Neodiprion lecontei: one gene and its partner. The protein of the gene in region 1 purifies or fractionates together with the protein of each later gene. This does not show direct contact. Links are inferred from orthologs where the notes say so. Each region holds a gene or a part of one and is shown in the gene's direction. Other genes may lie near its edges.

Region 1 (16,430 bases):
TCGAACATTACTTTTTTCACATACCAATCAAAAAGTAAGAAGCCGTTATCCTCTTGGTAGAGCTTTATCACTTTATCTAAAGTTGCAATAAAATATGTCAAGGTTTTTTCTGAATCACCGCCAAGCAAGCTCCGTCCTACTACGAGTGCGTTTACATTATTGTCCAATTGTAATGGAATATCTTCCATGTTTAGGTAATCAGACAAAACCTAGGATCAGTGTTAAAATTAATAATAATGCGTCAAGAATTGATAAAATAAACATTTCATACAAAATCTGAAAAAATATACCTGAACAGCTTGAAGTTGAGCGCCAATTTCGTTTACATTATTTGAGGCAGAACTTGTGATGCTGAAATCTTCTCTGAATTTAGTAGTTAGACTATCACACGGTGCTAGTTCCATGCAAAAAAGACGTAACACATGAGGCCATATTCCAACGTAAACTCCAGAACTAAAAAATCCAACAGGAGTGAATTGATAAATTTGTTACTTACTTGTACATGATGATAATATATTTATTGTTTTTATACTGCCTTACTTTTGAAGGATGAACTTGAGATTACTCTCACGTATGTCTGTTCCAAGCAATGTATATGTAACTTTAACTTCCTCTTTTAGATCAGTAAACAGGGTGCTAATCCCATTAAAGTGTTTTGTCTGCAAAATGTAAATTCGTGTAAAATACTTTTAATTACTTTAACCGAGCAACGTACACCAAACATAGAAATTTACTCACTGAAGTATAGTGTAAACCATACAAATATCCTGTAGCAACAATATGTAGAATATTCAACATAGTCTCTTCAATAACAGGTAATGCATTGACTTTAACAATATCCATATCTTGAACTTCTGTTGAATCGTCTTCGATATCGTCTTGGCCTTCAGATTTTTTCATGAAGAGTTTTTTTAGTAATTTAATGTTCAATAAAGCCCATCTAACACAGTTTTCTATATTGTCTGTAGGATACTTTTGTTCCAAGTCGATTTTAACAATATCTTGACCGATTTTTGTCTGAAAACACGTTTCCATCGTTGCTAAATTTCCTGACACTACTTCTGCATACAGAACTATTGTTGTCACATCAGCCAACCAAGTAGCCATCTTCGACCCAGCAGTAAAAGCAGAAATGACATTTTTTGTATGCTCATTTTCATCATCGTCTTCAACCAATGCTTTTATAAAGCTGACTGCAATTTCCACTAATTTTTCTAAAGAATATAGGTGTTCTCTAGAGAAATAGTACAAAAATGAATACATGAATAACAGAAATCAATAGCTTACATTGCTTTCTTAGAACCATATTTCAAAAACAAGTAACTTACGACAGAAAGATATTTGCCCATAGAATGTCTGCACATTTTTTAGTAAGGTCAACAAGTTTTGCGGGAGATAACATCGTTTTTAACTGGACCAGCCCATTTTTCCATGTATTCTGAACAGTTTTTCTTATCGGGAAAGCACTGCTATCTAAGTCAAGTGTGCAACTTAATCCAAACATAGTTTCGATAATTTTGACAACTCCTAGCCTTAGTTTGTTGTGAGTCCAAGTTGCAGAGGATATCTCAGAAACCAATTCAACGAGTGAGTTGAGATTATCTTGACTCTGTTCATTCAAACCTTTACAGAGGATTGAGACAATGTCATCAAATGTAGAATCACTGATAATTAAATCTGAAAATGCAAAGACGCGATTATTTTTAAATGTACTGTTATAGAAAATGATGAAAAACAAGAATAATTAATACAGTAACTAACCGGTATTATCAGAACACTCGAAACATTGCATGAGAATTTTTTTGTTCACATCCAAATCGATGGTAGTTTCATTAACAGCTACTTGTTTAGTCACATCTAGTAACACAGACGACACTTCAGCTTGTGAAAACCACTCTTTTACTGCAGGATCCTTCCTATTATGTTTGAACAAAGCACACTTGACCGCATGCCTAAGGATTATTTTATTTTCGTTCTGTAACTGTTGTAAGTTTGCACTTTGTATATTTGTTTGGACAATTTATCATAAAATTTATTTTCAAGACATTTTTGAATTAATTACTTATTGGACGGAATATCTACCTCTGATAATGAAGCAAGAACTGTTTTCTTGTCCAATTTATCCAAATATTTGATGAGGCTGAACAATAACATTATCAATAGCTCCGTCTGTTCTGGCTTTTCAATCAACCATTTTCTCAAAGTCTTATTGTAAAAATCGAGAAAACTGGTATCTTTTCCACACGATTTTGTCAATGCAATAAAAAGGTCTTTGCTTTCAAAGTTTGTGATTAATTTATAACAGGTTAACATGACAGCTGATTCAGAAGAATCTTTATTGATGTTATCAAAATGAACGGAAGTTATTTTGTTGATTAGTTGAGCTAATTCTGTACAATACTTCAGGTCTTCTTCTGGAACTTTAGGCAAAACTTCGTCGCTTTTTTCTGCTCGGTCGTTTGAATCAAAAAATTTGACTCTCAAATTTTTGCGAGTCTCTAATGTGGTATTTTTTAAACTGAGAAACAAGTCCAGCAATGAGTCATACAAGTTTGAAATGTGAACTGAATCAAAATTTGCTTCAGTAGAATGAATTAGATTCAAAAGTGTCTCCTCAAGAGTAGACCAAAATTGTTGAACTAAATGACCATACGACTTGTAATCGGCGACGCTTCGATTTTTACTCCAATAACGAATGAGCTGGCTTATTTGTTTAAAAATCAAAGGTTTCACTGGTGAAATCTCTACCAAACACCATTCCAATGTTGGCATCAACTAGAACGTGAAAATAAAATATATACTTTACAAATTTTGGTATTCCAAATTTAACACTTACTTACTTTCATTGTTCCTAATGATCATCACTTGAGTTATTAATAGTTAGTATTAAAAATAATTTTACCTGTTGTTTCAGTAAAGTTTCGCACAAGATTTCATCCTCATTATTCAAAAGAATCACATAACGCAAACACTCGACGAATGCAGTGACCACTGCCAGCATCTCTGAGTAGCTGAGTTGAACGCTCTTGACTTTAAAGCTGTACGAAATAATTATGATTATTTGTTTGTTTCACTTTCTATTTGCTGCCCAATTACTTTTACTTAGGTGAACAATTACCCCTTCCGTAAATTATTAAAGAAATTTGTGTAAAAGTTCATCTTGTTCTCGTTTTGTATAGGAAAGTGGCTGATGAAGGGCAGCAAATTAGGATAAATTGCATTGGCGCTGCCATTACCTCCTTCTCTTAAAACATGCCACAACTTAGGTATTATGAGCTTTTCAATGCTGACTACTGTATGCCAACCCTAGAGAACATGAATTAAACTCTAATAATCAATTTGCTAATTCTGCAGCTGAATATGTACATTGTCATCCTTTCTATTACCTCTATTTTACATATTGCAAGAAGCACAGCCTCCCACACAACTGGCAAGACACCAGGATCTGTTTCATCAAGATTGTTCATAATGGTGGTGATCAATTTCTTTTTCTCGTTCTTGTACAATTCTTCGGCGTGTTGAATCATTGAGGCAAGAACATTGAAGAATCCAGCTCTGACTAGAGGTATTTCATGTTTAACCAATTTCCAGAACTTATTGTGTGATAAAATTTTATCGTGAATCTTTGCCACCTTCTCTATTTGCTGAGGAGAAATTGTTTTCAAGTATAAAGAGTATCCTTGTAAACTTGATATCAATAATCTCTGGTATCTCATGTCCATTTCTTCAGGTGTAACTGTCCTTAAAATCAAAGAAATTAATAAAAAATTTCATATGTCATTGACACATTACCCTCTTCACAAAAATACATAGTATTTTTGCATACTTATTATTTCCAAGGGTTTGCGGCGTTTGATTTGTTATATTGTCGCAGATGTAAGTCAAAATTTCTTCCTGACAGTGTGCAATTGCGTCTGCTAATTTATTTGGTGGGAATGTTTGCTGTAAAAAGTAAATGGGAATTACTTGCGGTCTGGAAGATTGTTTACCTGCTGTTATTAATTATTATACCTGGAAAGCATTGGTAGCAGCAGAGGCTGCAGGCGCGTATGTATCATACTGTGACGTAAACCACGGTCCAGCCAGCTGTTTCAAATACGGAGCGATATTTCTTCCCGCAGGTTTAACAATGGCCAAATGCGCCACATGCGCAGCTTCTCTAACTCTATGTTCCACATCAATAGCAAGCAGACAATATATGCGGGGCCAAAATGGAAGGACTGCTAGAATAGTTTTTGCGGTCGAGTTGTTGCATAGCTCAGTAAACTCCTGCAATGCCTGTAAAATTTTCTGAGCATAAAAATACCGAACCAACAAATTCAACGAGGATTCACCTTTAATTTTGTCGTTCCATCTTTTTTATTCATTTTCTTCAACAGCAGTTGAAAGTGAGAGTCCAGTTTACTCATGTCGATTTCGTCCAAGGTACTAATCGTTAGTCTTGGTAAGAGGGGAATATATCCTCCATCCTTTGCCCCTGAAAACCCAACGAAGTTGGGCATTGAGGCTTCGAGCAGCTCTGCACTGCGACCGCTACTTGATGGCTATAATAAATAGTTGAACTCTTCAATTTTAGACCATTTGTATCAACAGATATAGAAAATGATGAAATAAAAAATTGGACATCAAAATATTAGATTTATTAATCTATAAGCTGCCAGTCAAAGACTCTGGCAGGGATATGAAGATTGGTATCTCTGTCTAAAACAGCCAGCGACACACGCTGTCATCGTTACAAATGTACTCATAATACAATTGAACAAAATATCAGAAAACAGCTAGTCAGTGAAACCCTGTGGATATCACATTCGGTGAGTATTAATTGAATAAAAAATAGGCGGGTGACAAAGCGAATTATTCGGTAAAAAAATTGAACATATTTTTCTGACAGCAGATTGCTTGTAATAAAACTTGTTGTCACGCACTTACCCTTGCATTATTTTTAGTACGTTGTGCCTGTTTGTTTTTTCCCATTTCAACGAGTCTCTAAAATAAAACTTCCAGACTGTATTATAGAAACTGTTCAATATTATTAATGTTTTGACAAATTCAACCCTTGAAGAATTTCTAACCACATTTCAGCCAGTGATGTCCGTGACTTACGTATCGCTCCACAGTGTATAAAAAAAATGTAGAGATACTAACAGCTTACATTTCACAACCCTAAAATTCGGTCAATCAGTAGTGCTCTCTGCGTCGCGCAACTCAAGTCGGTAAACGGTCGGTACGTAAAGACGACAGGACTAATATTATCATCACGTGTACCCAGATGGTTGATGCAGTGTCGGATGTTATTATGACTATGAAACGACCACCGAGCCGTACACCGTCGCCAACCCACAACCATGCAAATTCATTTACGGCGATTCATTTCAACCCAATTCAGCAATGTTAATCTTACTGCATCTCCGTCATATCGACAAAAATAATTTTATTTGAATCCGTGCACAACATAGATATACACGATTGGCTGTTAGAAACCAGTTATTGATATAAACAATAGGAAAATAGCCGGAGGTATTATGAAGGACATATGTAATGGTACTTGTATGTAACTTCTGTCCTTGTAATCGGCAATGTCAATCTAACTCCACCGGATAAACAAAAATAACATTATCTAAATAGATGCGCAATAAACATGCACATGGTTTACTGCTAACAGAGTTAGAAAAACCACTTCTTGATGCAAAGGATGGGAGACATAGTCAATACTATATATAGGATATCAGAAACTCACGAATGGATATCACCTAAGGATAGATTTTCCAAATTCTTTATGATCAAATTTTCATCAATTATCTACAATATCTCTGTCAAAAAAATACAGACGAAAGGTTGTAAGACCTTTCGGAAGCTTCAAGAGTTTTCCGCTTCCAATAATCCATTGGTTTTTTCTGAGACAAGATTCTGATCTATCGAAGTTTTCTGTAGATTTCCGCAAACAGAATTTACAAATTTTGCAGACCTAGGTAGAAGAATTTCATGAAGTGAAGCGGAGACATTGGTAGAACGTTAATGAGTTACATTACATATGTTAAAATTACAAGGAACTTGTTAGAAATTCATGTAATTGCTTCGTAAGTATCCAAGAAATATGTGTCGTTGATGAGTTATTGGAACAGCATCGGGATCCAATAGTGGGGTGATTGTCAGTTTTGGAGAAATATATATATACATATAGGTAAAAAAAAGCGCAGGTAAATTTGAATTTACGAATTCACTTTAACTAAACTAGAGAAATCCGACGGTATTACGATTCCACATGCATTACATGTTATTGAAGCATGAGTTTTATTGACAATGCTTAAATTTACGCAAGAATAAAATTGTCATTTGAAAAACTACAATATGTTAGTATTTCACCAGTGAAAATAAGTTCACTTATGCTCGTTTCCACACCACCGCAAGCGGTAGAGCACCCGGCGCGTTTTTTTTTACGTGGTATCCCCAGTAGGCCTACTCCACGGAGAATACTTGCAAGATCGATCTTACGTTCTTCGAAAACTTGCACATGACTTTTTTTCACATGTTAATTATGGTAAATTGTTTTTCCCAATCAATTTGAACTCGTGTATATTCGCAGTTCAGTCGAAATTTTTCACTTCGTATATCCCGCTGACTATTTATTATCGATGAAAGATGATTGTTTTAATTATAGATGAAAGATGGTTGTTTTAATTATGGATGAAGGGTGATTGTTTTTATCTTATAAGTGAACGTGAATTGACTTTGGATGTTCGCGCACGGGTTTTTTCCTATGAGGTATGAGATGATCATTAAAATGGAGAACCTGGTGAATACGCAACACAATCAACAACTAAACCAAGATTGAAAACACGAATCGCTGTAAGACGTTGGCATTTACCTATTGAAAGACGATGCAGAAATCTTTGAAGAAATGGAAACGAATCTGAGTAGAATAAGCACAACCACCAAAATACAACAGAGCTGTATAATTCTATAGTGAAATACAAATCGAACATGACCTATGAGCGACTCAAGAAAAAAACTACAGCAATAAATTGTACCACACTTTGTAACCACCAACTACATCGCTAAATCTATATATCGGTGAAAAAAAAGATGACTGACTCTGAACCAGACCTGAACTAGACTTAAGCCATACCTAAGCCTGAAAAATGAAGCGTTAATTTTTCAGTATAGTCATTAAAACTCAGTTACCTGGAACAGACGAAAATATAATTAGTAACATATGTCGATACAGGCAGAAATATACTTATCTTAAAATTAGGTAAATAAAAACTGTAATTAACGAAATAGAGACACATTAATTAATTGAAACAGACATAAGATTTAATTAGCTGAAACAGACAAAAGGCTTGATTAGCTGAAATAGACAAAAAGTTTGATTAGCTAAAACAGACAAAAGGTTTGATTATCTGGAACAGATAAAGGGTTGGATTATCTGGAATGGACAAAAAGTTTGATTAGCTGAAATGGGCAAAAAGTTTGATTAACTGAAACAGATAAAAGGTTTGATTAGCTGAAACAGACAAAAATATTGATTAGCTGAAAGAGACAGAAAGTCCTGATTACCTGAAACAAACAAAACGTTTGATTAGCTGAAATAGACAGAAAGTTTTACGGGCTGAAACAGATAAAAACTTTTATTAGCTGAAATAGACAGAGGGTTCGATTAGCTGAAACAGACAAAAAGTTTGATTAGCTGAAATAGACAAAAAGTTTGATTAGCTAAAACAGACAAAAGGTTTGATTAGCTGAAACAGATAAAGGGTTCGATTATCTGAAATGGACAAAAAGTTTGATTAGCTGAAATGGGCAAAAAGTTTGATTAACTGAAACAGATAAAAGGTTTGATTAGCTGAAACAGACAAAAAGATTGATTAGCTGAAAGAGACAGAAAGTCCTGATTACCTGAAACAGACAAAACGTTTGATTAGCTGAAATAGACAGAAAGTTTTACGGGCTGAAACAAATAAAAACTTTTATTAGCTGAAATAGACAGAGGGTTCGATTAGCTGAAACAGACAAAAAGTTTAATTAGCTGAAACAGACAAAGGTTTAATTAGCTGAAACAGGTGAAGGTATGGTTAGCACAATCGCGTAAGTCCATACACTGACAAAAAATGAGTCGAGTCCAACATGATATTCGCCTTAATATTCGTTGCTTCGATTATTAATTGTGTTGATGAATAAAAAACATTCTCAAGTTTTCGAATAGACATCTCTTTCTGCTTTGAGTTATTGAAGTGAATATCTTTTTCGACTCAACATTCTATAGTTTTCAGTGCATTCGTTAAAAAAATGATTTTGTTGCCCTAAAATAGAAAATAATACGATCAATTAAACGAGTATGTCTGTACATTTCAGACATATTTCATAAATACTTATGCTAAAATTTTCCACTATCAGAGTACACTACAGAGATTTTTGTTCCTGCGAGTTGAGCGCCGGTTTTCAAATGCCGCGCTTTCTCTCATAACTGAAAGGTACCAAGTCCACGCGCAAAAGGCAGCGTGGAACTTGAAAACTTTATTACTCGTCAAAAAATTGACAAAAGAGCTGAAATATCAGCACATCGATAGTGCATAACTCTTTCATGTACTGTTTGCAAAATCGACGCGCAAAAACACGTGTCCGAGTCCCGTTATTAATTCACGCGCAAAAAGGCGCGACCGATTAACCTGTCAAAAACCTTAAATATCTAGGACTTGTCGCAAAATTCTGTAGAACCCCAATCCGCATTTGCGTCTTTTTGAATCCGACACATTGCGATGCGGATTGTTATTCTGACATGCGATCAAGTCCGGGAAGGAGGTTGGAGGGCATGCATTATTGTGTGGCGTGACGGTCGGCGGTCCTCTTCGACGCGAAGTCTTCGAGCTCAGCATCTCTCCCCATCTAGCGTACCACGGAACGCGATAGATGGTCCAGAGATGCGTTTTGCCCATTCAGACGATCACAGAGATCAATTGAATGGAATAACGATCGGTAATGACTAAATAATCGAATTGCATAACGACTGAAAAATGGTCGCAGAGTGACAACAAATGGAAAATTCAATTTCTTTTATATTCAACTGCTGTCAAATGGTCGAGAGACCCGAATGCGGAGTCTTTTGGTAAAAAAATTTCTGTGATCGTTTGACGCTGTGGATTAGAAAAGTTAGTAACATCACGGTACATCGCGACCTTCCTACCCTCGCCTGTTTCCCAACGAAGCCACCCAACGGAAAAGAGAGATTCACACACTCATGCATAAACCCCGCGACGGATCCCAAAACGTCCACCTACCTACCCGGTTACCTATATTCGACCTAAACGATTCTCCATTCTCTCCAACACACGTCATTCTTCATCATTTGCGTCGTGGTCACTGACTTACATTTTCGTTGGTTACCTGTTGGGAGCAAAATGTTTTTGTATCGTAGTCTGCCTACTCAGAATACAGTATCGCGGTTATATTCCGCCAACCCTAATATTGCATTTATTATTTTAGTAAATGTTGGCAGACTATCGGTACATTAACCTTTTGTAAAAGTGATTAAAAACATCCTGTATGCCAATTAGCATTTTTCTAAGCGAGCTAAGCCTGCAGTTGATCAATACTTGTTGGCTGTTAAAAGATTGAAAATGATATATAAGATGCAAATTGATTACGTTACGTTATGCCAGACTTTCGAATTTCATAAATTTAACAATAACGTGAATAATTGAATATGTTCAAACCTCAGGTGAACCCACCACTTAAACGGCATCATCGGTAAATTCAAACGTAGATTATTACATCAGTTACGAAACACAATTCGATCTCGCGAGTGCCGAGTAAGCGATGGTTACCTGTCGCGATGCTCATTCCACTTTAAGCAACGTGTATAATCTCTAACTAGAAGTAAGCTACGCTAAATTGCATTGCGAAAAAAAATTATTCAACCGAAAGTTAAGCACGTTGCGATCGTGAATGAGCCTAACCATGCAGCTAAGAAATCGAAGATTTGTGTAACAATTGTTACCGCCACGCCACGTGACAGGGGAATACCAGGGAAAAACCCGTAACCTAACACATGCAAACTCACCAGCGTTGCCGAGAAATGGAGAAGTTACTCGGAAGTCTCTGCTTAAATCTGTGAAAAGCAAAACAAAACACTTGAATTAATTTAGGAAATCGGCTTTTCAGATTTCAAGTCAATTATTACTGTTATCGAGATTCATATTTATACATTGCATGTTATGCAAGAACAAAAGTTCGGCTTTAAATGACCACCGTGAATTATCAATCAATAATTAAAGTATTGTTACCTCGACTCTGGGCTGCTCCACACTTTAACACGTAGTAGTTCTTGTAGCATCTCAGGTTTATTGGTGAAGTGACGCATTTTTCACACTATTCAGATCTTCAGTAATTTCTTATAATCCGAAAATCCGCACCGTAACGATACTCGATTCTACACTCACTTTCTGTGCTGTAGCAGTATCTTTGAACCGACCAAATAAATTTGCTAACAACGGAACTGCGCATTTGCCGAAAATCAGCCAAAGAAAAAAAAGAATAAAATTGACACTCGTTGCACAGAGCCAAAAATAGACATCACTTAAATCTGAAATTACATAAAACAATGAAAACTCGGGACACGAAATTCACCTTCACCATTCGCAGGGTGTTTTTATTTCAGTCACTCGGTTTTTCCACAGGCTACACGCTGCTCATCGTGTATTACTCACAGATGAGTATGGTGGAAATACACTGATCGAACAACGTGACACCACCTGAACAACGCGGTCTGAATCTTGAACCGATACTGAGAACACGTTATTTCACTCCGATTGCTTGGAAACGACTGATGCACGGCACGACGCTCAGAAGAGATTTAACTGTTCTCTGAACGATGGAAGATAATAATTCGCGCGCCCTCTCTGTGGCTCTTCCCATGGAGTGGGGGTAGCTGCACATACCTGCCTAGGCTTTTCATCCCCCCTCTCGTAGCCCACACTCCATGGGTAGAGCGACAGAGAGAGCGCGAGAATTATTATCTGCTGTCCTTTAGAGAACCGACTCGATTCCGTTCATAGGACAATTAAACCATTGCTTACGCTCTATTTTACATATCTATGGTTTCAACGGCCAACAAACTCGTATCATCAGGCTAGAACACTAGAACAGTGATTGTGAGAATATAACCATAGTATAACCTAAAAACAATTTGCAACTTCTGCTGATGAGAGAAGCACGTTGCGTTGAGGTCGTTTGAACAGCCGGTGTGAAACTTTTTATTTATTTAAACTAAAATCGGTTTTTTGCTGACTATTGCATAGAGTATTTGCACAGAGTCGTGAAGGAAGATGTGTGAATTCACACGTGAATAGTTTTCTGCTGCTAATACAATAATATCAAATCAATCTAATACGGCTGCGAAGTAGCAGGTTGCATCATTCGTTTATCACAAAGTATCTAATTGTAACACTGCAATGACGGAAAAACTACCAGATACAATAAACTTTCCCAAAGAGGAAGAAGTCATCCTCGAGTTATGGAAAAAATTGGACGTATTTAATACTTGTTTAAAACAGTCGAAAGGCAAACCTAGATATTCCTTCTTTGATGGGCCACCCTTTGCTACTGGTATGCCACATTATGGTCACTTGTTAGCAGGGTCAATAAAGGACATAGTCACGAGGTATGCACATCAGCGTGGGTTTCATGTTGAGCGAAGATTTGGCTGGGACACACATGGCTTACCAGTAGAGTTCGAAGTCGACAAAGTGCTTGGGATCAAGGGCCCCGATGATGTAGCCAAGATGGGGATAGCCAACTATAACAAAGAATGTAGAAGCATTGTAATGCGCTATGCGTCTGAGTGGGAAACTATTGTTGGAAGGATTGGACGATGGATCGATTTTAAGAATGACTATAAAACTCTTTATCCTTGGTATATGGAATCCATATGGTGGATCTTTAAGGAATTATTCAACAAAGGTCTCGTATATCAAGGTGTAAAAGTAATGCCCTTCTCTACCGGATGTAATACTCCATTATCCAATTTTGAATCTGGTCAGAACTACAAAGACATCGCCGATCCTTCGGTAGTAATCGCTTTTCCACTGCTCGACGAACCTGGAATATCTATTTTGGCTTGGACGACAACCCCGTGGACTCTTCCCAGTAACCTGGCATTATGTTGCAATCCGAATTTTGAGTATGTCGAGGCGAAAGACTTGACTACGAATAAAATTTACGTCATACTTGAGTCAAGTTTGAACCTTATATACAAATCTAAAGATCAGTATGCATTAGTTGGTAAGAGGAAGGGCACTGACCTTAAAGGTAAACGCTATGAGCCACCATTTAACTACTTTTGCGATCTGAGGGAAAAAGGAGCCTTCGTGGTATTAAACGACACTTACGTAACTGCTGAAACTGGTACTGGAATTGTTCATCAAGCACCATACTTCGGAGAGGATGATTATCGCTGCTGTTTGGCAGCAGGAATAATAACTCGTGATCAGTCTGTTGTCTGCCCTGTTGATAACTGCGGTAATTTTACAGAGCCAGTAAGTGACTTTTTGGGTCAGTATGTCAAGACTGCTGATAAAAATATCATAAAGCATCTGCAAGGAAAAGGAAAACTTGTTCACAGTGGAACCAGCAAACACAAATATCCCTACTGTTGGAGGTCCGATACTCCGTTGATCTACAAAGCAGTTCCATCTTGGTTTATTAGGGTTGAACAATTCAAAGACAAGCTAATAACCGCAAACTCTGAAACTTATTGGGTGCCTGAATATGTTAAAGACAAACGTTTCGGTAATTGGCTTCGAGATGCTAGGGACTGGGCCATCAGTAGAAATCGTTACTGGGGTAATCCCATACCGCTCTGGGTGTCCGAGGACAAAATGGAAATTGTGTGTGTTGGAAGTATTGCAGAATTAGAGCAGTTGACTGGATCCAAGATTGAAGATATTCACAGAGAAAGTATAGACCATCTGACCATTCCTTCTAAGCGTCCTGGGCATCCTCCTCTTAAACGTGTCACGGAAGTATTTGACTGTTGGTTTGAATCTGGATCCATGCCTTATGCTCAAATGCATTACCCTTTTGAACGAGTCAAAGACTTTGAAGATAGTTTCCCAGCTGATTTCATCGCCGAAGGTATCGATCAAACTCGTGGTTGGTTTTACACCTTGCTGGTAATTTCTACAGCATTATTTGGAAAGGCACCGTTCAAAAATCTAGTTGCTAATGGTCTGGTCCTTGCTGCCGATGGTCAGAAGATGTCGAAACGAAAGCAGAATTATCCAGATCCAAAAGAAGTACTTAATAAATTTGGGGCTGATGCTCTAAGGTTGTACTTGATCAACTCCCCAGTAGTCAGGGCTGAAAATTTGCGCTTCAAAGAAGAAGGTGTGCGAGACATTATAAAAGACGTATTTTTGCCATGGTATAACGCATTTAGATTTTTGATGCAAAATGTTGAGAGATTTGAACGTGAAGAAAAACTACCATTTAATTACAATGAAACCAAGAAGATTTCTGACTCGTCGGACAATATAATGGATAGATGGCTCACCTCTTTTACTCAGTCATTGCTGCAATTTCTAAAAGAAGAAATGCAAGCTTATAGACTTTACACTGTCGTACCTCGACTGATAAAATTTATAGATAATCTAACCAATTGGTACGTAAGAATGAACAGAAAACGAATAAAAGGTGATGGAGGAACAAGAGATTGTGAACAAGCGCTGAACACGTTATTCTCTGTTCTCTATACAATGGTGAGAATAAATGCACCGTTTACACCATTTTTAACTGAATTCATGTTCCAACGACTGTCCAAGTTAATTGTAGCAACCAAAGGCAACATGGACAGCGTTCATTACCAAATGATTCCTGATCCAAACATAGCTCTTATTGACGAAACTATCGAAAAAGCAGTTTCTCACATGCAAACAGTAATTGAGCTCGGAAGAGTTGCTAGAGACAGAAAAACTATTCCTGTAAAATATCCATTGCCAGGAATTGTGGTAATCCATCGAGACCCCAAAGTTTTAGAAGATATCAATTCACTCAAAACATATATACTTGAAGAATTGAACATAAGGGAGCTCACTACTACAACTGACAAAGAAAAATATGGCGTTATATTACGTGCTGAGCCAGATCATAAAACGCTTGGTGCTAGACTGAAGGGCGAGTTCAAATCTATAATGCAAGCTATCAAGCAACTATCGGATGAAGATCTACAAAAATTTGTTGCAACAAAAAAAATTGAAGTACAAGGTCACGAATTAGGGCCTGAAGATATTCGGCTTATGTTTAGCTTCACCGGTCCAGCAGCTGAAAAATTTTCTGAACAATACGAAGCACACAGTGAAGGAGATATCCTGATTCTTCTGGATGTTACTCCAGATGAAACAATGCAGCACGAAGGGGTTGCACGTGAAATAATAAACCGTGTACAGAAACTAAGGAAGAAAGCACACCTTGTACCATCTGATGAGGCTATTGTGTATTACGAGATTGAGGACCTTAGTAGCAACTTGGCTGCAGTGGCTGTTAGCTATAAATCGTTCATAGAAGGAATTACAAAAACGCCTCAGAAAAATATCGCAGAGATGTCTCCTGACGATGATATTATTATACAAGAAGAACAAAAAGTTAAGGGGGTCAATCTTAAACTTGTTTTAACAAAAGTTAAACCATCCGATTCTACCGAAATCAGACTACATCTCAACGACTCCCAAGTAGAACCATTCTCTAAATGGGTAAATTTAAAACTCGTTAATCTTAAACCAAGATTTGGGGCCACTAATTCGGTAGCCACCATATTGTTAGAAAATTTTACCGGAGGTGTCAGCATATCGTATAATCAACTGAATTCTGAGATCGAGAAAATATTTGGTATATATGGCTGTCACTACGATTTGTATTCTGATGGAAAACTAGTTACTGAGTCAACACCAATCACGTCGCTACACACGCAGACAATATTAATTGTTCCAGCTGGTACATGTCCGTCCATATCAAATGTAAACAACAAATTACCTGTTTGTCACTTTGTCAATGTAAAATCGAAATCCCAAAAGGGTGTCATCCTACTTGAAAATCCTGTAGGAAATTTTGCCTTGGACAATAGTGCTTTGCATCAAAGATTATTAGTGTTTGGAAATGTTAATTTTTCTAATGTACCAGCAGATAATATTTTTAAACTCAATGGGACAACATTAGAAGCCAAATAATAATGTATTCGATTTTCGTCGTTTCTCTTCTTTTTGTTTTGCTACTTGAATTCAGGTAACAAAGTTTTGAAAAACGATTTTATGCTAATACTTGATTGTGGCTCAATCTTTTACTGGAATAAGAAAACGCCAGGTGGCAATTAGTAGTTCTTTGATTGCGTATGTATGTAAATTATAGGAATTATTTTATAAATAAAATTGAGATTTATATTAATTATTAGTCAATTTGACAATTTGATTCTTTAACCTCTGGTTTATTCTTCCTACATTTTAAAAATAAAGATAACGTTCGGAAAATATAACAAACAAGTTAAGTTTAACATAAGCTCATCACGGGTGGCAATAATTTATAAAATAACTCAAACTGCATTCTGTACGCATGTAACATGGTAACTGAAATATAAACCTGCTATTTCAATGTAACAACGATGGTTTTTTTTTTTTTACATTCTATATACACGGCAAAGTTTAGAATTTGCGTATCATTTAAATTAAACAAGAATTAATTCATAGCAAATTTAATGCCAACAGTTTTTCATCACCTATATTTTACAAAAAAAAAAAATATATATATATATATATATATATATATATATTTAAAATTGAAAAGTAGTACGTGGTAGAAAAATTTACATAAGAATTTTCTTTTCCGAAATATTCTCTCCTCTTCCTGATATTTGTAAGGTAACAGTATACTTTCCGGACTCTTGTTATGCAACGGTCAATGTCTGAAAATTGAAAACAGACTTCGTCCTTACTTAATGTAAAGACATTGCGTTTATTCCGAGACAAAATGTTCAAGATTTCACGTGATCAAGTCACTTTATCCGTAGTAACTGTGTTTTAAATATTTCATATAACATTGTCCAGTTTTTCCAAAATGATTAAGGTCGTTTTTATTCAATGTTTCTAATACTATCTTGATCAGGGAAAAAATGGCCGAAAAGTGCAACGGTAAACATAGCGGTGAGCGCGTATAGTGCGAGAGTAGTAGTTGCCGTGAATAACTGAGCATAATGGTATCGTGAATACCAAGCGAGACCCAAAATTACTGTCAAAATGCTAACTAAAAGTCTACTAAGATCCCAGTCGTGCCGTCCTCCTGCAAGACCTGCACTTGCTGGCAAGTCTTGGAATGATTGAGGGTTAAAGTACAGTGGCGAGGCATTGTCTGATGTGCCTGACTGAACTGCAGGCGTAGGATTTGGTCGTGGT
Region 2 (15,324 bases), on another chromosome or scaffold:
TGTTTCCCGACTGAGGAATTCGGCTAGCTGATTTTGAATTGGTGACGTCACTTTCTGAACGTCCGACATCCAAACTATGGTTTCAAACTTTGATAGTATGTATGATGATGTATCATGTACGATGTATGATGTACGATGTATGATGTATGATGTATGATGATATGATATGATGTATAATGCTTTTAGTTTTCACGTTTCATACAAGAAATACACACTTCATCTCTCCTGCCGATTCCAGACTCAAGCGGCCAGGCCCTTCGATGGTCAGCCGTTGACTGAAGATATATTCTTCAGTGAACGGGTCGGTTAAATAACGCTGCCGTTCTGCGACAGTTGAATGATGAAAAATTTCGCTCCTATCCTTCAAATGTGTGTTGAAATACACTCAAAGTGTTAAGAAGCGTCGTTCTTTCTCTCCCTATCACCTTTCTAGGTCTTTAAACCACTACGCAGCGTTAAATACCGTCTCATATACGAAGCATCCATTCCATCTCGTTCAAAATTAGCGCATCCGTGATGTATTACAGTTACTCTGAATTTTTTTCCATCCGAATGCTTTTCGAAAAACAATTCTGCTCCTCCACCCAACGCAGATACTTCACTTGCGACCAGCTAAAACAACGTTTCGATTCTATGCCTATGAAAATTCAAGATCGAGAGAGCAAATGAAAAGTTGTTGGAATAATTATGAATACTAATGTTATGGAATACATGGAGCGCGCGTCGAATAGAATCCCATTTTGAAATGAATAATTCTTCTCTTCATATCATAGCTAATCTAGTAATATAGGTAAATAGGATGGTTGGAGGTGTTCGGAAATGGTAGGAGGTGGTCGGCGCTGGCAGAAGGTGATAGGGGATGGTCGAAAGTGGCCATTGATGGTGGGAGGTGGCAGGGGGAGGTAGGAGGTGTTCGAAAATGGTAGGACATTTCAAAAGTTAAAGTCGACGATGATCCGGTGCGTAATTTTATCGTTACAGATTTTCTTTTCCCGTGAGGCATAGAGTATTCAACAACGATAATGCAGTCCTTAAAATTCATCATTCATCTCTGTCTGAAAAGCTAATTCGCAAGGCGTTGTATTCTATTCTATTTGCATTATCAGAAAAATACCCGTACTCTACATACACTGTTTCTAATCTTTTGCTACATTTGGCTTAATCCCCATGCTTCCACAGCACGAATAGTCGGAAATGTTTTTGATTATCCATAATAAAATAAAAGAGGTAACAAAGCTTAAATTTATTGTTAAAGCTCTAATGAATACATCAAATTGCGGTCGAATTCATTTATTATTTGCACATCTCCTCTGTATATTTGATAAATTATTCCTAAATACGTTGAAACATATGTATTTATAATGAAATATCATGCAATGGGCTGTGTAAACTATAAACTATAATTTCTATCGAATAGCTGCTTTTATGTCAACAGGGCTTTGAGACTCAGTTCAGTTCGTCCTCCTCCTCGTCCACCTCCGACCACCTCCAACAATCGCCAACCACCTCGAACAACCACCGATAACCACCTCGGGTTGTACCTGGAATAGCAATAAATATTTTCAGTATAAGAACACATCAAAAACATTACGTAAGGATTCATATAATTAATTAAGTGATTGACAATATTAATAATTTCATTAGCGCATTCATAGCTACCGAATTTGTGCTTGCGCGGAAAATGAATTGAAACAATTTATTGTAAACGTGACAAGTCTGTAATATTTTAGATGAAATATAATTACAATTGTCATCAAATATTATAAAAATGTTTTACTCACCGAGCACAAATCCTCGTCCTTGTCGTCCAACTCGTTCTCCTTGTCTTCCTCGTCCTCCTCCTCGTTCACCTCCGACCACCTCCAACCACCTCCAATCACCTCGGGTTATACCTGAAATAGCAATAAATATTTTCAGTATAAGAAAACATCGAAAACAATCCGTAAGGAATAATATAATCAATTAAGTAATTAACAATATTATTAATCCCATTAGCGCATTCACAGCTACCGAATTTGTGCTTGCGCGAAAAATGAATTGAAATGATCTATTGTAAACGTAACAAGCTTCAAAAAATTTCAGATAAAATATAATTACAATAGCCATTAAATATTATAAAAATGTTTTACTCACTGAGCAGAAATCCTCGTCCTCTTCCTCCTTATTCACCACATGTCCCTGAAGTCGAGTTTCATTAGGTAGTGGACTTGGAGCGCAGAAGCTACGGAGCGCTTGTCCTGGAAGTTGAGTTTTACCAGGTAGCGGACCTGGTGCGCAGAAACCACGGAGCGTTCGTCCTGGAAGTCGAGTTTCACCAGGTAGTGAACCTGGAGCGCAGGAACCACGCAGCGTTCGTCCTGGAAGTCGAGTTTTATTAGGTAGCGGACCTGGAGCGCACGAAATACTGAGCGCTTTTCCCTGAATCAAGTTTCCCCAGGTAGCATACCTGAAGCGCAGGACACACGGAGCGCTTGACCTGCAAGTCTAGTTCCTGCAGGTAGTGGGCCTGGACAGCCAGAACTACGGAGCACTTGTCCTGGAAGTCAAGTTCCTGCTGGTAGTGGACCTTGAGCGCAGAAACTACGGAGCGCTTTTCCTGGATGTCGAGTTGTACCAGGAAGCGGACCCGGAGCGCAGGATCCAGGAGGTAGAGAACCCGGCACTCGAAATCTGCGGAGCGCGATTCTCATCCGCCCGCTCTATTGCGCGGTTGTTCCCAGACTGAGGAATTCAACTAGCTGATTTTAGATCGATGACGTCAAGAGAAAAAAATTTTGGGTGACGTCACTTTCTGAACATCCGACATCCAATCTTTGGTTTCGAACTTTAATGCTACGTATGATATGATGATGTATGATGTGATGTATGTATATATGATAAGATGTATAATGATTTTAATATTCGCATTTCAGACAAGAAATACGCACTTAATCTTTCCTGCCGATTCCAGACTCAAGCGGCTAGGCCCTATGGTGGTCAGCCGTTGACTAAAGATATATTCTTCAGCTAACGGGTCAGCTAATATCGCTGTCGTACTGCGGCAGTTGGATGATAAAAATTTTTGCTCGTACCTTTCAAATGTGTTCAAATACACTCGAAGTTTTAACAAGCTTCGTTCTATCTCTCCCTATCAAAAAAAAAAAATAAATAAAAATCGACGACAATCACCTTTTTAGGTCTTTAAATCAGAACACTGCGTTAAATACTGTCTCAAATACGGACCATCCGTTTCATCTCGATCAAAATTAGCGCATCCGTGATGTATTACAGTTACTCTGAATTTTTCTGATTACGAACACTTTTCGAAAAACAATTCTGCTTCTCTACCCAACGTAGATACTTCACTTGCGACTAGCTAAAACAGCGTTTTGATTCCATGCCTACGAAAATTCAAGATCGAGAGAGCAAATGAAAAGTTGTTGGAATAATTATGCATATTAATGTTATAAAATACACGGCGGTGCAGGGGGACGAGGAGGACACAGGCGGTCGGAGGTGGTCGGAGGTGTCCGGAAATGGTAGGAGATGGTAGGAACTGGTAGGTGGTGGTTGTCGGAGGTATGAGGTGGTTAGAGGCTGTAGGGGCGGTAGGAGGTGGTCGGAGATGGCATAAGGTGTCGGTCGGCGGCTGGAGGGGGTAGGAAGTGTTTGGAGGTGGTTGGAAGTGATCGGCGCTGGTCGAGGAGGACGAAGATGACATGGACGTCGATGGTCGGCGTGGAGGCGGTGGACGGAGACGAGGTGGACAAGGAAGACGAAGGTGGTCGGAGGTGGGCTGAGGTGGTTGACGGTGGTTGAAGGTCGTTGCGATGGTTGGCGGTGGACGCTGTTACGCCTCTTCTCACGGGAATGATCGAGCTGATCGACATTTCTAAGTCGCGGTCGACAAATAGTCTTACGTACTCACTTTGTACCGACTCAATCTCAACCTTCCATACCGACACTACTTTGGCTGCCAGGAATGTCGGTGCGAACTAGTTAGGTAGAGTCGATAGAGCAGAAAACTCCTACGCTCCCAGGCCCACTTGGGCCCACTTGCCCGCCGAAAACTGGTCACAAAAATTTACCCAGGAGTATCCGTCTTTATATTCTTCAGTCAACGTCCATGCGTTCGAGTCGAAGCCGTGGCTATATGTGGAAGCCGTTCGACTTTTATAAATAAAGAAAGACAGATATGGTAATTATTAGAGAAAATATTATCGTATAATCTTCATATTCTACATATTAAACACAAAAACCCAAATGTGGCTACAAAGTACCGTTATACCAAATACCGCAACAGCACGTAACCTCTCTTTGACACTACCCATCTGCTCAGAATTCACCAGGTATATTCATGTGATTGCGAGCAGGTATTCTCGAAATAACTCAGCTATAAAATCATTGACCAAATTCGGCTTTCATTTTTTCTGATCAATGTCATCAGTCCATAACGTGTACAAAATATGCTAAGGTGTGACGCGTTAATATTTATTATATTACAGGCAGCGGAAAGAAAAGGTACCTTTAAGGTTGAGTACCTGCAGAAGATTGAAAGAGATGTCCAAAAGCAATGGGAAAATGCTAAGGTATACGAAGAAGATGCTCCATTGTCTCAAAGACAATCGCCAGATGAAAAGTTCTTGGCTACTTTTCCATTTCCATACATGAATGGACGTCTTCATCTGGGGCACACTTTCTCTCTGTCCAAATGCGAGGTATTTTAATGTAGCTGATTTATTTATCATTCATCTACATTTTATTATATTGTCAATCACATGAAATGATATCTTATCATAAACACAATGTTGAATATAGAAATTTATCTGTGAGTATGAATGTACCGTAATTTTCAGTTCGCAGTTCGCTACAATCGTCTCTTGGGCAAAAAGGTTTTGTTTCCATTTGGATTTCATTGCACAGGCATGCCTATAAAAGCTTGCGCTGACAAACTTAAGAGAGAAATGGAAACGTATGGAAACCCACCAAAGTTTCCACTCGACGAAGAAGTCGTTACTGAAAAGATTGACGATATTGTCATGAAGGATAAAAGTAAAGGAAAAAAGGTTGTTCATTTTTCAGAGCCTTCGTTGCACTTCTTTTCACATGCAATGTGCAGTTAAAACATTTACAAAATTAGTATTACAAATTTCATTTAATAATTTCTGTTTCTCAACATTTGACAAACTCGCGTTTTCAGAGCAAAGCTGTAGCCAAAGCAGGTGGCGCGAAATATCAGTGGCAGATTATGCAGAGCCTTGGATTAAATGATGAGGAAATCCAAAAATTTTCAGATGCCAATTATTGGTTGGATTACTTTCCACCGCTGGCTGTGCAGGACTTGAAATCGATCGGAATACATGTATGTGGTATCAGCAATTGAAAGATACATTTACTTGATTGTTGAAAGTCTTCAAGTCAGATGAGAAATTTTTTTATTTAAATATATCTAACTTTTTATTTTACGCAAACTAGGTAGACTGGCGACGCATGTTCATAACAACCGATGCGAATCCGTTCTTTGATTCTTTCGTTAGATGGCAGTTCCAACATCTAAAAGCGAGAAACAAAGTGAAGTATGGAAAGCGGTACACAGTATTCTCACCCAAGGACAATCAGCCATGTATGGACCATGACAGATCCTCTGGAGAAGGCGTCGGACCACAGGAATACACCCTAATCAAAATGAAACTACTCGAATCATATCCTGCCGCACTTAAGTACATAGAATTAGTGTTCATTACTCGTCATGCACAAACTTCAATCGGTCTATTGTGAGATAAAACCCCTGTCTTTTATTCCCAGAGTTGTTCAGAGTAAGCCTGTCTATCTAGTCGCCGCTACACTGAGACCGGAGACTATGTACGGTCAAACAAATTGCTGGATTCGTCCGGACATGCGGTACGTTGCTTACAGCTTAGCAAATGGGGACATTTATATCTCTACAGAGAGAGCTGCACGCAATCTGTCTTATCAAGGCTTTACAAAAACCGAGGGTAAAATAGACATTGTTGCTCAATTGAGCGGACAGGTAATTTTTCAGCTACTTGATATTTCCTTGCAATTCATTGATCCCTACTTATGAGTATTGATTGAATGTTATACTATATACCAGGATATTCTTGGCCTTCCACTTCATGCGCCTTTATCCAGCAACGAAGTGATATACACTCTACCCATGCTTACTATAAAAGAGGACAAAGGTACGGGTATCGTGACATCAGTTCCCAGTGATTCTCCGGATGATTACGCGGCACTTGTAGATCTGAAAAAGAAGCAACCCTTCAGAGAAAAGTATGGCATCACAGACAATATGGTGCTACCTTATGATCCTGTGAGTTTAGATTCAGCGCCAAATTATAATAAATGACAGTTGTGTAGAGACAATGCCTAGAACACTCTTGAGATGAGATATTGTCTGCAGCATAATCATATTTTAAGTACTTTCATTTACAGATACCAATAATTCAAGTCCCTGAATTTGGAAATCTTTCCGCTGTAACGGTTTATGACCAACTGAAAATCCAGTCTCAAAATGATAAAGAGAAGCTTCTGACTGCCAAAGAAATGGTATATCTCAAAGGTTTTTACGACGGTGTGCTTTTGGTAGGTGAATACAAAGGGAAGAAAATTCAAGACGTTAAAAAGGACTTGCAGAAGAAACTCGTTGACGCCAAAGATGCAGTGGTATACTATGAACCTGAAAAAACGATAATATCAAGGTCAAACGACGAATGTGTTGTCGCTTTGTGTAACCAGTGGTACCTAGACTATGGCGAAGCAAACTGGAAAAAGCAGGCTGAACAAGCTTTAGAAAACTTGGAAACTTTCCATGATGAAGTTAGGAAGAATTTCACTGCATGTCTGAATTGGCTGCATGAATATGCCTGCTCTCGAACTTATGGATTAGGTATGTATTTCTCTAAATTTGTACAGTTTCTGCTGTAACGTCCAACAAAAACAATAACTTTGAATTAGTTCCTCAATTATTCCATAAAAAATAGTAGAATTGTTTTCAAAGGTACTAAACTACCCTGGGATGAATACTGGCTCATTGAGTCTCTGTCAGACTCAACTATCTACATGGCGTACTATACAGTAGCACATTTGATACAAGGCGGAACATTCAAAGGGGATAAACCCAATGCTCTTGGTATAAAGTGAGTTCAGTACAGACAAGCTTCTATTTTAGTAAGATTTTGCTACTACATTTTCTAATCCTATTTCTTCAGGGCTGAAGAAATGACTCCGGAAGTCTGGGATTACATATTTTTCAAAGATGCTAAGTTGCCACATGGATCTATAAAGAAAGAAGCGCTAGATAAAATGCGACGAGAGTTCCAGTATTGGTATCCTGTCGACCTACGTGTTTCTGGAAAAGATTTGGTCCAAAATCATCTTACCTTCTTTATTTATAACCATACCGCTATTTGGCCGGATCAACCCGAATTATGGCCTAAAGGCATAAGGGCGAATGGACATCTACTTCTTAATTCAGCTAAAGTAATGAATAGTTTGAGCTGCTTTATAATTCATGTGACATGACTCTTGAATTGAAGAACATACTCACCACAGAATCTATTTATTTATATGTAGATGTCTAAATCGGATGGAAATTTCCTTACATTGACTGACGCAGTGCGTAAGTTCTCTGCAGATGGTATGCGGCTCTGTTTGGCCGACTCCGGTGACTCTGTAGAAGATGCGAACTTTGTCGAAAGCACCGCTGATGCAGGAATCCTCAGGCTTTATACGTACATTGAGTGGATCAAAGAAGTTATGGTCTCAAAGAATACGTTCAGAAAAGGGGAGCCTAATACTTTCAATGATCGAGTCTTCCAGAGGTACGTTGAAAGCAGAAATATCATTAATGCGATGATCAGAGATACTTGTTTCATGAATTGTTTATATAATTTAAATTTTCTTTTTGCAGTGAAATGAATCTGAAGATACTTGAGACCAAGGAAAACTATCACAAGATGCTGTACAAAGAAGCACTTCGAACTGGATTCTATGAATTTCAGGCAGCGAGAGATAAATATCTGCAACTTACTCTGTCAGATGGAATTAATCTGACACTTATAATGAAGTTCATTGAAATCCAAACCATTCTAATGGCTCCCATTTGTCCGCACGTTGCCGAGCATGTTTGGACCTTGATTGAGAAGGTAAAGATACAATGCACGGTTAATGTCATGAATCCGGTCTCAAAATGTACTTGCGCCAATTCATCTGATTTCATTTTAATTATAGAAAGACAGTATTTTGAACGCCCGTTGGCCTATGGCTGGTCCGATTGATGAAATCTTGGTGAAATCTTCACAGTACCTAATGGAAGCCGCACATACTTTCAGAATCCATCTGAAAAATCAACTTACCGTGAAAAAGCCTGCTAAAGGGAAGGCTGCTCCTTCTCCTCCTGAAATACCTACTTTTGGTACGATTTGGGTGGCAAAAACATTTCCGCCGTGGCAGAGCACTGTTCTCACGAGCATGAAACAATTATTCGAGGTAAGTTGATGGATACCTGAGTATCGATTTATGGTATTATTTGCGAGAAACTTGAAACTGTTACTTTTATTTACAGAAGAATGGAGGGCAACTACCGGACAACAAAGTAATTTCTACGGAACTCAGTACCAAAACAGAGCTCAAGAAATACATGAAAAGAGTAATGCCTTTTGTGCAAGCAACAAGAGAAAAAATGGATACACTTGGTGTATCAGCTTTGAATCTAACACTTGACTTCGATGAAGTTGATGTGTTGACGATAAATCAAGATTATCTTCGAAGTACTCTAGACGTGAGTATAAAAAATATCACCGCAACGTGTTCAGTTAAATATACTCGGCTACGTATACTAAATAAATTTTCAATTTTAGTTGGAAAAAATTGAAATCAAATACTCCGACGAGGCTCCCGAAAAAACGAAAGAAGAATGCTGTCCTGGTGCACCGTATATAAGTTTCTCTACAAGACCAGGCCTTCCCGTTACCGTGGTGAATCCACAAAAGTGTAATAGCCTGTTTACCAAGATCATAAAACTCTCCGACGGAGACAGAGCAGTTGATGTCTCAGCGCGAATAGCTAAGGATAATAAATTGATAAAAGGTACAAGCATATATGAGAAATTTACTTAGTTAGTGACCATGAAGTGATTACTGATTTTGATGCTTTAAATCGTGTACTTCGTTTACAGATGCTACTTCAGTTCGCTTATACCGTTACGAAGATTCGATACTGGGGCCTAGAACTATATCAAAAGTCGACGATATACTGAATGGCAAAATTCTTGTTCCTCCAACCGCGGTTTTTAGTGTGAATTTAGATACTGGTACCGTAAAACTTGACGTAGAAGGAAAAAAATACCCAACTGGGCTAGATTTATTATACGTTGTAGAATAGCAATAGCGTTGTAAAAATGACTTATAATTTATTTACGTACTTCGCAATTTGTTTTTTTAATGAGGCGAATAAAACAAGGACAATTATAAAAAATCTCTATACGCAGAATTTGAATATAATCGAATCCACCTGTCACAGGTAAGTGATCATTTTAATCTTCAAGAATACCTACCTGTGAAGAGTGAGTATTTAAGATACAGAAAGCTGATCGACTGTCAGATGGCATGTGCATGTCGTATTCTGGGCTATTACAATGCCAAAGTAATATGTTATAGTCGTTGAGACATATTAGTTCAATCAAGCTGATTAGTTTTCTTCAAATCTTTAAAACAATTTAAACCTATTTCGCCTTCACGCCATGGCTGAAAAACAGTTGCCTACAGTAAGGCGAACCCGAGAGTTGAATATTTATAATAACTGCGAATAAAATTGTTTTGCGAGTACACTTTTCTGGCATCAAAAACAAAAGAATACTAATAACAAAGCGAACCTAGAAACTCCAGGTGACACGTTTCATACCTTTTTTTCTCGAATTGAGTTAGTTGATTATTAGCTAGGCGACAACAAACCGAGTCCTTTAATGACGGAAAAAGTTAATGAAACACAATGTTGAAAGTGCATCATGATTGCGAAATAAATTTGAAAGAAGATGAAGTATTATTCATCCCTGGAAGGGGTCCGTTTCGGTCAACATTCGGAGCGCTGCGACGCTCCTGTATGGTATCCGGAAAAAATCCAAGCGCGACAAAATATCTGCGGAGCCGAGCAGCCATCGTTTACGAAAAGCGACGTCATTTACGAAACTTTAAATACGTTATTCACCCGTTCAGTCTTTTCAGGTGGGTCCCTGAAAAAATGAATACTGTACGGCAAGATGATAATATATTATATCCTAGATTCTTGAAACTCTGGATCAGTACAATTGCTTTAATACAATGCATAATTCTACTACAACATAATAAAAATAATTTCACGTATTTATTAACCATCGGTGGTTTCTCGCATAAATGATCGTAAGTTAAATACAGATATTATCTTCGTAATTTGATAAGCATTGAAATGTAGAAGTAAGAAAAACAAACTCACGTTCTACAGACACTGGTGGGACTTCGCAATGGTACTATCCATGTATGCCCTTTGTTTGATTCTGCCATACCAAGCTGCCTTTGACATGGATCGGAAAATCCGTGGTTGGACCCAGGCGAAAAATTTGTTCATCGGTTTCTTTAACGCGGACATCATCGTGAATTTGAGGACTGGGTACGTGGCCGTAGTCAATCTTTTGTGGCAGAAATGTTATTGTTGATTGATTATGAAAAACGCTATTAAAATTCATTGAAAATTCCCGTAGACGGTTATTTGATTTCGGTATCAGTGCGTGTAAAGCAGAGATATTCATGTCCTTCTTTTCAGGTACTACGACCAAACTCTTCGGACAGTGCAACTGGATTCTTGGATGGTAGCAAAAAAGTACATGTTCCACGGTACTTTCTTTGTCGATTTGATCGGCTCGATACCGACGGACATATTTTTCTTGGCTCATTGGAACGAGCTGGTAGTATTGCGGGAGGTGACCTCGCTGATAATAATATTCAGGGGATTTTCCATGTACTCGTATACACATAGGCTAGCCACCTCCTACGACATATCGATCGGGATTGTGAACATAATAATATTCATCGGACTGATATTCCTGGCCCTCCACTGGCAGGCCTGCTTCCACTACATAGTACCACTAGCCGTTGAGTCTCTGGGGAAGCCGAAAGCTCCCGACGATAGCTCCTGGATTGCACAAAACATGCTCTGGGGGTCGACTCCTCAGACGAAATACCGCAGCAGCCTATTTCGCGCGGTTGCCATCTTCACTTGTTCCGGGTTCAACGGAGCTCCTCCTTCCACGATGGAGGACCAGTACTTGGCCATCATCTTCCAGGTGTTGTCGGTCCTCATTATGTGCAAGATGGTCGGCGCGATGATGCAGATATACAAGACCATGAACAGCTCGTCCCTCAAGTACCAGGCGATGACCGCCCAGCTGACTCAGTACATAAGGCACAAACAGCTCCCTGTGGAAAACCAGCAGCGATTCATGACCTACCACGAGTTTCGCTACCAGCACAACTACTTCAGGGAGTCGGAGATCCTGAGCACGGTTTCCAGCCAGATCAGCCAGGAGATAGGGATGCACTCGTGCAGGAAGCTGGTCGAGAACGTCACCTTCTTCAACAACTTGCCGATGTCGTTGCTGGTAAGAATCGTGGCCCTTCTTCGCTCCGAGATATTCCTCACCAACGACGTGATTGTGCGGGCCAATCAGCCGGGGGACTGCATGTATTTCATCGCCTCCGGGACCGTCGCTATTTACACCAAGTCCGGGAAGGAAGTCTGCCACCTAGAGGACGGTGCTCATTTCGGAGAAATCGCTTTGGTCATGCCGGACGAACGTCGAGTCGCGAGTGTCGTTGCTGTAGAAATTTGCGAACTTTACAGGCTGGAGCGCGCCGATTTTACTCGGACTATACACCCTTACCCCATGCTTTGGGAGCGGATTAAAAAAATCGCTATGGAACGACACGAGAAGACAACGATTTTGAACGCGCAGTGATTTTAACATTACAGTACAGATATAGTTTTTAAAGCAATCTGCAATGATAATTTGGCCATTTTGCTACAATTATAATTAATTGATAATTATCGATAGAATACACCGATATTCAGAAAGCCTAAGCTTTTCTTCTCGTCGCTGATTTCGACCGTTTTTATGCATGATTAATTTCTTTTCCAAGGAAATAGCCCGGTATATGCAAGGTACTTTTTGCTGCATATTTTCCCAAACACTCAATTTGATTCGTGAACGTTGATCGATATGATTTGTTTTTTCTTCGTGGCATAATTCATTGATTAAATACTTGAGCCACGTACGAAAACGTTGTGAATACCAGCCAGTGGTAACGTCTGTACTAACCAGCCGCCGGATTTTCATTCGAAGCATGCGAATGAAACGAGCCTTGGTAGATGCCACTAGCAACACTCTTCCAGCGACTTCCTGGACTACACAGCTTGACGTAGCCCGTATAATTATATACCGGAATAACATTTACCATTAGAAAAAAGTTAAACGACACTCATTATGAAAGGTCCCGGTTCAAGTCCCAACTTCGATATACAGCCGAATAATTGAAACGGTGATGTAATAATGCAAAAGAGCAGCTCCGCTTGTTTCCTCTGTATAATAACCAATTATACTTAGAGTCAATTATGAAAAAATCTCATTATAAATTGAGTGCGTTAATGACTTTAACAATTCAAATGGTTTTGGTGCTTCCTTGCACAGCACGCATTGTGCATGCAAACATAATTTTAACGCAATGCTCCGGAATATCGGGCTTATCCCGAATATTTTGCTAGAAGTCCCATCGCTTTCAAGAATGAGTAAAATAACACTGTTATGACGCATACAGAGTTCTGTATGCGATAACGAGAATTGCCCAATTGACATAATCAGAGTGTAGGTAACGGATAATAAGGTTTGCACTGCGATGACATAACAAGTTCAATAAGTCCACTGGCCAATGTGGTTCGTAAAAAAGTAGGTCACCACAGGGTATTATGCGCGAGTATAATATATCTACGTAACCTGTATTCGAAATAATATCGATAAATTATACGTTAATGTTATGCTTTATAACGTTAGTTTAAACGTAACTGTAATTTTACGAACGAAATATATTGTATATTATACAGGCCATGATTATCTTCATAAATCACAATACAGTTTGAATGATTATAATTAGTGTATACCAATTATCGAAGCTAAGACGGTCGTTTGTATTATCTACTACATACGTGCCTTTTAAAATTCAGAACCACACATGAAATTGCGAGATGCATGCGCAGTGGGTTATAACATTTTGTTATACCCACGTGCAGCATCTCGATACGTACGTGGTATGAATCAAATCCGGCGCGCTCCAAGATTCTGCAATAAAAATACGAGTAGTTAATTATCGCCCATAAATACATTGCGTGGTGCCACTGATTTTGACTTCCGTCCATTCGGGTTGCGATGACTCCCATATAGCTATATTCCGCATCATTTAACTCGATTAAGAATATGCATGACGTATAATAATTGTACGGTCAATCTTTCTAATTATACAATTAACGCAGTGCGGAAATGGATTTCTGAAACGGCCGTGGTCAAATTATAAGCTTATTATAGGTGTATACAGGTTGAAAAATAATTTGCCAGATTTTTTCGCAGCGCGTGACCGAACTCTCGAAATAGGGTGCACCGCGTGACTGTGTATCGTTTTCATGACTTTACGAATCAATCAATCATTCAATCAATCAGTCAATCAATCAACGAAATCAAAAGGTTGAACAGCTCTGAATTGGGTACTATGCGAAGAGTACAGGAACCGCTACTCGGCGCCGATAAAAACCCCGCCTCCGGCCTCGAATGATGAATGCCGAATAAAACGCAGTAAAGACATTTGGCACAATCGTTTGAAAATGTTAAAAAATTCTATCCGCACGGGCGAAACGCCCGAAAATCCCGATGGCGCCTACGCCGGGTACGGGAAAGAAGAGCCTCGGCCAGGGACGCCCATTCGACGGGCAGACAATGGTTTGTGCGCATCGACGCATGGGCAGAGCGCGGTTCGTGGCTGCCCCGGATGACAATAGTCGCTTAGGAAGGGCTGGGCATTGTACAATAGGTCGGCGATGCGCCTGCCTGGTAGCAACCCGCACCCTCCTCCCACACCTCCCGAGCCTCTGCTGCCACCGAATCTCCTCCGCCCCCGAAGCGTTGGCCTATTGTTATCAGCGCCGACGTGCAGCTCCCTGGGTTATGTGAATTCTGGCCACACCCCGCGACGCCAGCCAACGGGAGGGCCGCAGGCCTCCGGAGATTGGCGACCCTGCACCTGACCCCGCGCCACTCGACAATAGGCAAATCCGCGAACAGCGCCGATGTCGGAGTGAACGCCTCGCGATCAACCCTCGCGGGAACCGGGGGTGTTTCCGGTCCCCCGGGTTTTACCAGAGCTGTCTTCCGAGAGCTCCCCGGGGTTAAGGTCCTCAGCGTCTGGAGTAACCCGGTCCAAACCGAAGCGCTGTTTAGCGAAAGAGCGAGGCCAGAGCTCGTCGCCGCGGAAGGACTCGAAATGAAATCCAGAGTTTCGCTCGGATCACTGGATTGCATTGTGAAAACCGCGGAAACGATAACGCAGTTGACGAATTAGGAACTAGGTTCCATCGTGAAGCGTTCTGTGCAGGCAAACCCTTCAACTTTAATCCGCTATTAATTCACAAGTCTACCGTATGAAATTCAGCAAAAAATGCTCCACAGATATGATATGTGAATTCAGAGATAACTATCTCTTAACATCTGATGTTACGAATGATCATTTACGTTGATGTTTTTGAGTACGTGACAAAATATCAAACTCATGTCAAAACAACTGCCATTTAAGAGTTTGGTATGGCCAATGATCGATACCAACCGCTGTCAAATGATCTTTTTACTTGCCTAGAGTCAGGAATCTAGCTGAAAAATTAAAGGTAAATAGCTGAAACACCATTGACATATTGTAAACGCTACTTTAACCTGATCTTCTCCAAAGTTGAGCCCGTGGTAACGTGTTAAATACACGTTTAGAAATGTTATTTTCATCATTTCAGAGCACTTATTTTCCTCAAGTACTCAATAATCGGATTCATTAAGTTAGGTACACCGTGATTACGATAAGTTTACATAATCGAATACACTTTGCAGCAATTTCTACCCGATCTTGTACCAACGCAACAAAGTATACTATCAAGACGATTGAAGTGTGTGAGCTCCACAAAAGCTGTACACAACATTCTTAGGGTACCAGCTATAATAACCGCAAAATCTGCCGTGCTACTGTCTCGTAATTCTAACCGATTATC

The links.
Region 2: the proteins of isoleucine--tRNA ligase, cytoplasmic (region 1) and leucine--tRNA ligase, cytoplasmic purify together in Homo sapiens (affinity purification with mass spectrometry; 7 studies listed by BioGRID and IntAct, counting the BioPlex papers as one, with this or other methods). This does not show direct contact. The link is inferred for Neodiprion lecontei from reciprocal best matches to the Homo sapiens genes IARS1 and LARS1.

What each region holds. Positions count from the first base shown.
Region 1 is NC_060260.1:8,071,970-8,088,399, forward strand, and holds isoleucine--tRNA ligase, cytoplasmic, read left to right. Parts: upstream 1-11,020; 5' UTR 11,021-11,447; coding exon 11,448-15,215; 3' UTR 15,216-15,764; downstream 15,765-16,430. Other genes in the region: E3 ubiquitin-protein ligase listerin, read right to left, coding at 25-209, 291-453, 541-659, 739-1,234, 1,329-1,677, 1,762-1,981, 2,083-2,775, 2,903-3,038 and 6 more; transmembrane and ubiquitin-like domain-containing protein 1, read right to left, coding at 16,112-16,430. UniProt on the Homo sapiens protein: Catalyzes the specific attachment of an amino acid to its cognate tRNA in a 2 step reaction: the amino acid (AA) is first activated by ATP to form AA-AMP and then transferred to the acceptor end of the tRNA.
Region 2 is NC_060265.1:7,203,458-7,218,781, reverse strand, and holds leucine--tRNA ligase, cytoplasmic, read left to right. Parts: upstream 1-4,018; 5' UTR 4,019-4,174; coding exon 4,175-4,177; intron 4,178-4,484; coding exon 4,485-4,697; intron 4,698-4,835; coding exon 4,836-5,045; intron 5,046-5,179; coding exon 5,180-5,341; intron 5,342-5,454; coding exon 5,455-5,699; intron 5,700-5,784; coding exon 5,785-6,010; intron 6,011-6,094; coding exon 6,095-6,313; intron 6,314-6,435; coding exon 6,436-6,889; intron 6,890-7,000; coding exon 7,001-7,139; intron 7,140-7,211; coding exon 7,212-7,482; intron 7,483-7,575; coding exon 7,576-7,823; intron 7,824-7,912; coding exon 7,913-8,147; intron 8,148-8,232; coding exon 8,233-8,490; intron 8,491-8,566; coding exon 8,567-8,782; intron 8,783-8,861; coding exon 8,862-9,090; intron 9,091-9,178; coding exon 9,179-9,384; 3' UTR 9,385-9,471; downstream 9,472-15,324. Other genes in the region: potassium/sodium hyperpolarization-activated cyclic nucleotide-gated channel 4-like, read left to right, coding at 10,499-10,644, 10,798-11,989. UniProt on the Homo sapiens protein: Aminoacyl-tRNA synthetase that catalyzes the specific attachment of leucine to its cognate tRNA (tRNA(Leu)).